Linked DNA regions of Drosophila melanogaster. The protein of the gene in region 3 interacts with the protein of the main gene of each other region in a pairwise test. Each region holds a gene or a part of one and is shown on either strand. Other genes may lie near its edges.

Evidence for each region.
Region 1: the proteins of TP53INP (region 3) and Atg8b interact in a two-hybrid assay, tested with the Drosophila melanogaster proteins (2 studies listed by BioGRID).
Region 2: the proteins of TP53INP (region 3) and Atg8a interact in a two-hybrid assay, tested with the Drosophila melanogaster proteins (2 studies listed by BioGRID).

The regions. Positions count from the first base shown.
Region 1 is NT_033777.3:17,723,858-17,727,132, reverse strand, and holds Atg8b (Autophagy-related 8b), read left to right. Parts: upstream 1-2,069; 5' UTR 2,070-2,222; coding exon 2,223-2,585; 3' UTR 2,586-2,723; downstream 2,724-3,275.
Region 2 is NC_004354.4:10,766,480-10,770,236, forward strand, and holds the start of Atg8a (Autophagy-related 8a), read right to left. Parts: upstream 1,860-3,757; 5' UTR 1,592-1,859; coding exon 1,502-1,591; intron 828-1,501; exon of another isoform or gene 689-827; coding exon of another isoform or gene 674-688; intron 178-673; exon of another isoform or gene 1-177. Other genes in the region: BTBD9 (BTB (POZ) domain containing 9), read left to right, coding at 2,242-2,814, 2,869-3,507, 3,576-3,757.
Region 3 is NT_037436.4:4,405,006-4,408,762, forward strand, and holds the start of TP53INP (tumor protein p53 inducible nuclear protein), read left to right. Parts: upstream 1-2,139; 5' UTR 2,140-2,379; intron 2,380-3,757. Other genes in the region: CG15019 (uncharacterized protein), read right to left, coding at 356-610, 780-965.

The DNA.
Region 1 (3,275 bases), on a different chromosome or scaffold from region 3:
TATTTCGCTTGATTGGCAGCTCTGGCTGATTATTTGTATTTCGAATCAACACCGAATAGTTAGCAGCCGTTCAATTGGATTAAATCCACTCTGACGACTCTTGCATTCCATTTAACTAATTCCCCTTTGAATGGCGGACACCAAGTTGGAGTAATTAAACCAGGCGGACACGATTAAGTGGGAGGAACGCCAAAGATTCTGGTCCAGTGAACGCAATGCTCTCATATTTGGACCCTAAAAAAAAACGGTTATGGTGTCGTTTTTAACGAATTATTGTTAATTGCCGCATTAACAACATGGTAAAACAAGTCAGTTTGAGTTTATTAGGCGCAAGTCGCAATATTGTTCATATAAATCAAATTAGAATGTTCTAGTTCAGTGGCCAGAAAAGCTTCAATTTTTACCTACCTACCTAATTGCTCTGTTATTTCTTATGCACTTTTCACGAGAAAAGGAGAAAACAGATACGCATTTGTTTTATAAATCAAATTAGCTTTTGCCAGTTGGCTGACCGCAAAAACTCGTGTGTGTGTGTCTCCAAGCCAACAAAGTGCATTTTAATTTGTTTTAAAATTGTATTTTGTGCGTTTAGAAAGCGCATGGCCGTTTCTATCTATCCAGTCAAAGAAATCTCTCTGATTTTTGAAGTCTATTAGCATGGACTTATTAGCAGGTATGCGGTAACCACATCACAAAATCCGTACGTTTCTATCGAATCTCAGATCATCTCACAAACGAATGGGCTCTGGACTGCACATTTCTAGGTGAGCTAAAGCAACACCATTAGGGCGATTACTTTTGCGGATTGTGGAATACAATTGGTGATTTGTTTCGCACCCGTGAGTTTAATTAGCAATTGCCGCACACAATCAGTACACAGGCACACATAGATTAGTTGCCCGTGTTTATGGCTAATCGCCACTAAAATCAAGAATCAATTTTGGGCAAAATGAAAATTGATAACTTTATGGCCTGGTTTTTCAGCAAACACACACAACACATCAAAGGAGAGATCGTGGGACTAACAATTTTTTCGACCATCACATGAGCGTATAAACTCTGAATTATAATGGATTTTCCGAAAGATTATTTCACACACACGCCTTTTTCTAACGAATCGAAAGGGTCCGTTCTTGGACATGTTGCTCACCGGAAGCGTAAATATCCCAGGTATTTTGCAGTTGTCTTCGTCCGAACTGAAGTGCACCTGTTGCAAGGGATTACGCCCAGGCCACAACCGGAAACCAGCGATGCACGAACTGCTCCAAGTAGTAGTACTGTGAAGTAGAACGACAAACTGAACTGCCGAGGCACCGAACGCGAACAACCGAGCAGCTCCAGCAGCTATGGCGGAATGAGAGCTCCAGCGCTGTCCGAGCGACGAGCAGCCAGCGACGACGGAGCCCAACAACACATCTGCTCCAGCTTTGCGTGTGTTGCGTGCATTGTTGCCGTTGCGGTCGGTACAGGTAAAAGCTTTCGCAGTTGTACGCCCCCAGCACATACACTTGTTGAGCTCCCTTGTGGTCAGCGCCTTGGGAGCCTTGATTGTAACGTCTTTGGGCCAATTGTCGCCTTGGGGCGGCCTGCAAAAAAAGGTTCATAGAGCGGTGCCAACTGCAGGGATTTATATAGTTTTTGTCGTATTACAAAATATTTAATTAAATCAATGAAAATATATAAAATAAATGCGCCAGTGAAGTATGGAATGGAAAGTTTCTAGCCCGAGGAGTCCTGCACAGCACATTCGTAGTGCGATTCCAAGGACACAATTACAATTAACAGTTTAAACGGTAATGGGATACTTCAAATTAATTAATTGGAGCGATGCATGAAAACGATACAAGAAATATGTGTGTAAGCACCATGAAAGCCCCTAGGGAAATTTGGCACTCATATATAAGTAGTTCTTCTTTAATTTAGAATTTCCAACAAATTTCGTATGTTCCTGATTGGTTAAAGGTATAGATATACTTTTCCATGAATAGGAATGAATACTAAACCTGATTACAATCACATTTTCCCTCTCCCATTTCCCATTCAAATCCGAGAAGAGCAGGCACTTTTCTATCTGCCAAAGCTATCTGTGCAGTAAAGGTGATAAATCATACATAGTTCCCAGCAACTCAGGCCGGCAGCTACATAAGACCTTCGTACCAAATCCAAAACGAAAACCCATTTTTCGCTCCGTTTCGATTCGAACCGTATTCCAGTCCGCCCAGATGGATATGAACTACCAGTACAAGAAGGACCACTCGTTCGACAAGCGCCGCAACGAAGGCGACAAGATCCGGCGCAAGTATCCGGACCGTGTGCCCGTCATCGTGGAAAAGGCGCCGAAGACGCGTTACGCGGAGCTGGACAAGAAGAAGTACCTGGTGCCGGCGGACCTGACAGTGGGCCAGTTCTACTTTCTCATCCGCAAGCGTATCAATCTGCGTCCCGACGACGCCCTCTTCTTCTTCGTAAACAATGTGATCCCACCGACATCGGCCACCATGGGTGCACTGTACCAGGAGCACTTCGACAAGGACTACTTCCTCTACATTTCCTATACCGATGAGAACGTCTATGGACGGCAGTAGACGCGGGCTTGACTCGCGTAATCGTTTTGGCGGTCGGTTGAGTTTCAATTGTCATTTTTTGCCATTGGCACTACTCGCTCAATAAAGAATGACTGCTCCTAGCCAGCTAACCAGAAGCAGACAACGTCGTCATCACATGGCACATGCTGGGCTAAACAATAATTATCGCAGTATGTGCTTCCCCCGCGTTGGAAGTGGGTGCATAGCATCCGCTAATCCCTTGCCCCTGGTCTTGCCGCAAAAAGTTAATTGAAGCGCTCGAAAAAACATTTAGTGGACTCACTGCTTCGGCTTAATTATAATTCACATATTCGATAGCCGTATGGTTTGCTTAAGTTCACTAATTGATGAAAATATGAGACATAAAACCAGTTTAAATCGGGCAAAAGTGTGCTCCAAAGGCGTGCAATAAGATTCAACAAGTTGGTTTATGTGTCGCATGAAGCCAAGTCCAATGTGGTGAGACAAACTTGTTGACACCGTGTCCATGGATTAGCGAAGGAAATTTTTATATCATAATTTCGAATTGATTTTATTTCTGTTTTATTCCGTCAGACACCCACCCACAACTTCCAAACCCTTTGATATACAGCTTTTGTTTATCAAACTAATCTACATGGGCTGTATTCTTCGAAAACTTCCAGATGGTTATATGGAAAAAGTAAATATAAATATATGGGTTCACAAATA
Region 2 (3,757 bases), on a different chromosome or scaffold from region 3:
CTAGCTGGCCTAGACTAGACGATCCGTTCTAGCCAGGGGCTCATTAGTTAGCCTTAGCCAAATTATTGGCAAACTGGTTTGTCCAATTTTTTTTTTTTGGAACAGGAAGCGGGTGCCAACATAGTGAATACGAAATGGGCAAAAACTGCTTGTCGCGAATGCCACCCCTCTATACACTAGTGTTCTATCGAAATTCGTTATCGTCATTGGCCGAACTCAAGGCACAAGTATGAGATGTGCTAGTACGTATGTATGTACTAAGTATATTCTATAGAATTCGGATATATATGGATATGCTGGTGGTCCGAGCGACCAGCTGGCCTTGCCCCTCGCTCAGCTGTTATGTGATTTGTGATTTGGCACTGCTGCACTTGCCAAAAAAAAAAAACACTAAAATAACACTGGCAATAATATTTCGGGGGTGCATATATAGCGCACATATGTACATATTTGTACATATATACATATGCATATGCAGTCCGAATCAAAATCGAAAACAAGAACTGCACTTTTCGCTGCGATTGGGGCACCTTCAGCAGTTTGTCGTTTCGTTTCGTTTGGTTTTGTTTTGGTTTTTGTGAAAGGAGTTTTCGCTGATAACGTGGTGAAATGCATACATACATAGCAGAAAAACAACAAAGAAGAAGCAGAAGATGTTTTTGTTTTTTTCAACCTTTCTGTTTTCCATTTTTTTTATTATTTTTGTTTTGTGTTCAGCAGCGCATCTATGACTAATTCCAGTCGCACTTTGTGTATTTGCGAAAAACAAAACAAGCAGCGCTAGTATAAGTGTGTATTAGTGAGTATTAGTGACTTTTTTTATGCGCAGTACTCGCTCGTTTTGCCAACAAACAAACGAAATTAAAATCGAAAACAACTGGTTGGTGCACACACAGAAAAAAAACGGGGTGGTCAAAACTTTGCTTGTAACTAAATTATGATGACAGATAGATATATGCGATTTTCTTGCTGTGTAGCCAGAGGGTGGGATAGAGGAGAGGAAGAGGTGGCACAGATGAAATCTAGCACTGAAAACAACAACATCACAACAGCTGAGCAAGTGAAACGGCTGCTTTGTTCTCTCCCTTTTTTTGCTTTTGTTTTTTCCTGTCGACATCTGTGTGCCTGTGTGCGCGTGTATGCGTGCGTATGTGTGTATGCAGGGGGCAGAATTTTCGTTTGAATTTCTTTTGAGAGCTTGTCGCCTGTTCCCCCCACCAGTAATGCAAAATGCACTTTATGCAATACCCATCGCACAAATTTCCCCAGCCACCTGATGTGCCAGTGCAATAATATTGTAATAACAATCGAAATACCCAATATGCGCAGTATTGATTTTCTTCGGTGCAAACACAAAAAAAAAGAGCGAGAAAAAAAACGACGCAAAACAAACGCATACACAGAAGCTCGCACATACACACACACTCGCACGCATATATACACACACACACACGTCTCTTTATACCTATATGCATTTATATATATATTTTTGAGTACTTACGGGCACACGGTCTGGATATTTGCGACGGATCTTGTCGCCCTCGGCGCGACGCTTCTCGAAGGCGTGCTCCTCCTTGTATTGGAACTTCATGATTGCAATGAAGAGGTAATTGGCTAAGAAACGCAGCTTCTATCACTTCGTTTGCTTTTGGGACTGTGCCGAATATCGATGCGTTGCTGAGCTTGTGTTTTTCTCTTCTCTGTTTTCTCGTACAAACGGTACGAAATACTTGTGTAGAGTGACCGTGCGCAGCAGTTGACAGAGCGCTTCGGTCTAAAAATCGATGACTTGCTGGTTTTATCGATAAGCACTCGCACTGTGGTGACTGCACTCGCTAACTGCTGTGGCTAGACTGACCGTGTGTGACCAGTGAGCGCGCAGAGACACCAACCCGAAACGCGCTAATAGTGGTGGCATATTAGACAGACACCATTTGGTTCATGTATTCGCTAAATGTTATCGGATGCAACCATGTGGTTCATGTGCTCGCTAGCAGACGGCTGTCGATATGGTTGTTGTACGCGTTAAATGGTATACACACCTACGGTCACACTGCACATATAACAGTTTTTCGCCGCAATAGAAGAATCCCTATTGTGCCATCGATATTATCGATATCACTAACTGTCATCGATGGATTGACGCAGCAGGCGAGACGAAACGTTAATTGTCAACTGTTCCCTCTGGCTGCTTACACACATAAATACACATCGCACGGAAGAAAAACAAAAAAGAGAAGGATGAGCAGCCAGGGACACCATAAGATGTCCGGCGGCGGCAAGAAGGGCGCCATGGAGCAGGACTACACCGACGTGGTCGATCTGGGCGATCGCTTCTCAGCGGACATGGCGCGCCTCTGCATGAACGAACAGTACGCGGACGTGGAGTTCATCGTCGAGGAGGAGCGCATACCCGCCCACCGCGTCATACTCGCGGCACGCAGCGAATACTTCCGGGCGCTGCTGTACGGCGGCATGGCGGAGACCACACAGCGCCAAATACCGCTTGAGGTGCCGCTGGAAGCGTTCAAGGTGCTGCTGCGCTACATTTACTCGGGCACACTGCTGCTGTCCACATTGGACGAGGATTCCACCATCGATGTGCTGGGCATGGCCAATCAGTATGGTTTCCAGGATCTGGAGATGGCCATATCGAATTATTTACGCCAGTATCTGGCCTTGGACAATGTCTGCATGATTCTTGATGCGGCGCGTCTATACAATCTAGAGGAACTCACCGAGGTTTGCCTAATGTTCATGGATCGCAATGCCGGCGACCTGCTGCTGCACAACAGCTTCAATACGCTATCCAAGGTAAGTTCACAACCAATTGGTAAAGTTGGCACTAAGAGTATGTAATGCTTACAGGAATCGCTGGAGGAGGTACTACGGCGTGACTGCTTCTTCGCCCCCGAGGTGCAGATCTTTTTGGCCGTGTGGAAGTGGAGCCGCTTCAATAGCAACGTGGACTTCAAGTCCGTGGTTAGTTATGTCCGCCTGCCACTGATGAACCTCGAGCATCTGCTGCAGGTGGTGCGTCCCTCGGGCATCCTGGATCCCGACAAGATTCTCGACGCCATCGACGAGCGCAGCACTTCAAAGGCGCTGCCCTACAGGGCGGCGCTCTGGCCGGAGGAAAACGTGGCCGCGGAGACGTTTTTGTCGCGCTGCATCCAGGGAGAGTGTCGCGACGCGCTGCTGGATGGAGATGTGACCACCTATGACATGGAGAACGGGTATACGCGCCACTGCATTACGGACAGCAAAGATGCGGGCATTGTGGTCGAATTGGGCACGTTCTGCATGATCAATCACATTCGCATGCTGCTCTGGGACAGAGACAGCCGGGCGTACTCCTACTACGTTGAGGTGTCCGGCGACCAGCAGCATTGGGATCGCGTGGTCGACTACAGCGACTACCACTGCCGCTCCTGGCAATACTTATACTTCGAAGCACGACCCGTCAGATTCATTCGACTGGTGGGCACCCAGAACACTGTAAACCGGGTAAGTCAGCAGTGATCTCTTCAAACTTTCCCCATTCTTTAACTTTTTCCCTTTCCATTAATATATAGGTATTCCATGTTGTGGGTCTGGAAGCCATGCACACGGCCAAGGTGCCGCGTTTAGTTAACCATTTTGTGGCGCCCAAGACGAACGTGGCCACCGTAGAGATGAGCGCCATTGTGACGGACGGCGTGAGTCGCACCCGCAACGCGCTTATCAACGGCGATTATGTGCGCTACGACTGGGACTC
Region 3 (3,757 bases):
CAATATCCCCATTTTGTGATTTTCCACGTGCAATAGAGCTAATGAGCATAATGTAACTGCACTTTAGTTTAAGCGTTGGATACTTGTTGTTCACATGACACCGCAAATGTGTGTAGATTTTAAGGCTTTAATATGCAATAATAACTCGTAGCTTTAAAAAAGTAATGATACTATTTGATTGCCATGTTGAGAAGTTCAGACTATATCTGGGTTTTTCAGAACTTGTTTGGGCTTTAATATGCAATATATACTCTTAGCTATAACATCTTTGTAGAAAAAGCCTACAAAATCTCCTAAACTAAGCGAGGACTTATAAACTACGATAAGATACCAGATGGGTAACCCAGCCCCGGATTTATAGGGGAACATTAACCGTGGTCCAGGCCTGTTTGAAGTTCTTCTTCTGCGAGTGCTGCTTCTTTCTTAGACGCTTGGCGGTCTTCTTCTTCTTGAACCACGCAGGATAATTGCCGTACTGATCTTTGAGGGTCTTGCTGTTGAAAATGTGCTCCACGCCCGTGTTCTCGTTGGTCACCTTGACTTTCTCGCCCTTCTCCAGACTCTCCTGGTGCTCGTAGATCAATTCCTGCTCCTCCTTGGATTTGGCCTCCTGTTTTAGGAATACAATTTCTTCTTTAATAAGGATATAAAATACGTAACAAGAATGAAGGTAGTATCGCGATAAACTAAGCCGGTTTTTCGCATATTACATGCATACAATACATATAATACATTAGGTAAATTGGTATATTTGTAGGTGGGTATATCACATAACTAACCCTTTTGAGCTCCTTGGCGGTCTTAATTTCGACCACATCGCTTATATCCTTCATGATCTCATTTCCATCGGCATCTAGGAGTCCCAGAGTTTTCTTCAGTCGAATTAACTCCTTGGCTTCGTACCGCGCCTTCTTTATCTTATTCATTTCATCACGACGCTTTCTCGAGCGATTGTTTCTGCCCATTTCGGTAGTCGGATATTAAGTAATACCAGAAAAAGTCAAAGAAGTAAAGAAATTGCGTTCAATTTGCTAAAAACGTAAACACGTGTGTTTTTGCTAGAGCTGGAAAACTGCCCGATTTTTCTTCGATTTTTTTCAGCGGGCTCTTATCGATAGCGCAAATAAATTAATCGACCAGGGCTTATTTTTAGTTATTTAGCCGCCAAGATTAAAAATTGTTTTTTTTTTACTCTCGTTTTTTAAATAGTTTTATATACTTTCTATGTAAAAGACACTTATCTGTATAGAAATATGTGTCATATTATTTAATTACACCTTATGTCCTTATTTTCCCTAATATGCTGTAGCGCTGTTGTATCAATTATCAGGTACATAAATTTTTAAAAACCACAAAATATATTAAAACATATTAAATTCTAGTTTTTATGACTTTGCCTTTAATGCATATAAGTTATAACTTTTTTAAAAACCACAAATTAAGCTTTTGTGGCTTTTTTCCACTTCCATTTTCGTTTCCATTCATCTCTTTCTTCCCCTTTTCCACTCTGTATTTATTTACCTTTTGTTCTCTCTCCTTTTCAGTATATATATATTGCAATATGATTTTTGTATACAAACAAAATCAGCTGCTGAAGAGAAAATGAGAGGCTTGCCAAATACGAAAAGTAACTAAAATAGGAAATATAGTCGTTGTGAAATGCTCTACACCGACTAGATTTTTAATACACTAAATAGAATTTTATAAAAAATATATGATTGTACAAAATGCAATAGTTTTCTCTAATAGCTAAGACAATGCATATAATAGTTTGTTTAACAGTTTAAAAGAATTCGGCTTAAATGCACTTACTTTTTAAAGACCTTGATAAAAAGGTTTTCACAAAGAGATAGACTGTAAAAATGTCCTAGCTATTTAGCCAAAGTATAAGGTATTGTTAATGTACAATACAATGTGTTTACTTCAGTGACATAGCTGAGTTACTTTCGATTTGGATAGAGCATCCGAAGAGCCTCTCTTGCACATGCGCAGCAGCAGAAAGAGGCAGAAACAGGGTAAGTGTGTCGGGCTCAGCTGTAGAGCCACCAATACATGGGTAGCGCACCAACACCAGCGAACAGCAGAGGCACACAGATAGGGGGGCAACCAGCTTGGTTGGCCAGTTTGTAGACCTTCTGCCATCATTCGCTCGTCAGTCGTTGTTGCTAGCATACGTCACGGAGTTCCTGTAGCGCTGCTCTTCTCCGCACTCTCACCCCCGTCAGTTAAGCAAAAACGGAAGTAATCAGCACAAAAAACAATAAGCACGCCAATTAAAAAACATTTCGAAAACTGTGTAAAAAGCCTTGCTGGTGCAAATTATTGCAGAGAATACGGGTAGATTCCGACACCGATCGATCAATAAACTCCGCGCAGCAAGTAAGTGCAGTTTTAACCCCCCCAAAGAAAAAAAGCAGAAAAATACTGAAGCGGAAGTCCTTCTCCAAGGAAAGGACATTACACTCACACACGCACCAACACATGCTCAGATATGTTTCTCAAAAGTTCTGCTGCAAGCCGATTTACATGTACACACATCCCAAAGTGCAGCCCAGCGATACATACGAAAAAGCAGGAAAAAATTCTGATTGCACCTTCGCATCCAAAGAGTTCACACTTTTGCGGCTGTGTGAGTTTTCCTTGGCTTTCGGCCAGGCCAACAGTTTTCCATCTCCACATGCACTTACACACACACAAACACCGATTTTCCCCCAAATTGTATTTGGCTGCAAATCGGCCGAGTTTCTTGTTAAGGGGATTTCCATTCTGGGCATCTAATAGCCATAAATTTGACTTGCATCACGTTTTCAGCATTTTTAGCGATCGTTATCAGATCCGTGCCACATCTCAGATCTCTGGCATTTCCCAGCTGAGTGCACTGCTAAAAATTTGCCTAAAACCATCTAATGTAGAGCTTATTGGAATAATGAGTGTATAGAATTAAATGCTAACATAAAGCGTTCAGAATTTCTCATACTCTTTTTAGAAAAATTTCTCTCTGTGTTCAGACTTACATATTAGCTGCTGCACTTTGCCCCACGATCGAGTTATATATTTTTTTTTGTGCAATCATTGTGTGTTCATGGAGTGTCAACTGGTGATGGCAAGTGCAATGAATGTTTCGCTGATTAACATCTTAATTAGCCTTGCAATTATTTCCTCAACTATAATATTATGGCCAAAAAAAATCTCCTGGATGCCTGCCAACATTTGCTCAGATGTTGAGATCCGAGAGGCAAACGAAAATAGGGAGCATTTCGAGGAGAAACCTTGCCGCTCCACAGCCACAAAAGCAGGCCCAAAAACCCAAGTGAATCATGCGCCAAATGTGCAGAACAGGTCTTGCAGTTGCCATTGTCCATTGTCCATTTTTCGAGCTGAAGAGCTAAAAAAAAAACCTCTAAAGAACGGAAGGTGCTGGATCGAAACGGAGGGGTGGGGAGTAGGGGTCCAAAAACGAATGGGAAGAACCGTCGCGGATGATAAATCAAGTCTGGCCAGTTGTTTGTCTGTGGCAATGAAAGAAAAATTGAAAAACAAAAGCCACAGACAACAACATAAACAGCGAACAGCTGATGATGCTGCAGCAACGCGAACTCAGCCAAATGTGTATCTGGCAGATAAAGTCAGTTGGCTGCCCCGCTTCGATCGTGGCCAACAAATCTGGTCGCCTTAATTGGCCAAAAGGGTAACCGTAGTCACAGAAAGTCCAACCGATGCACAGGGAGAAAATGTGTTAGATAACAGAAGTATTTGA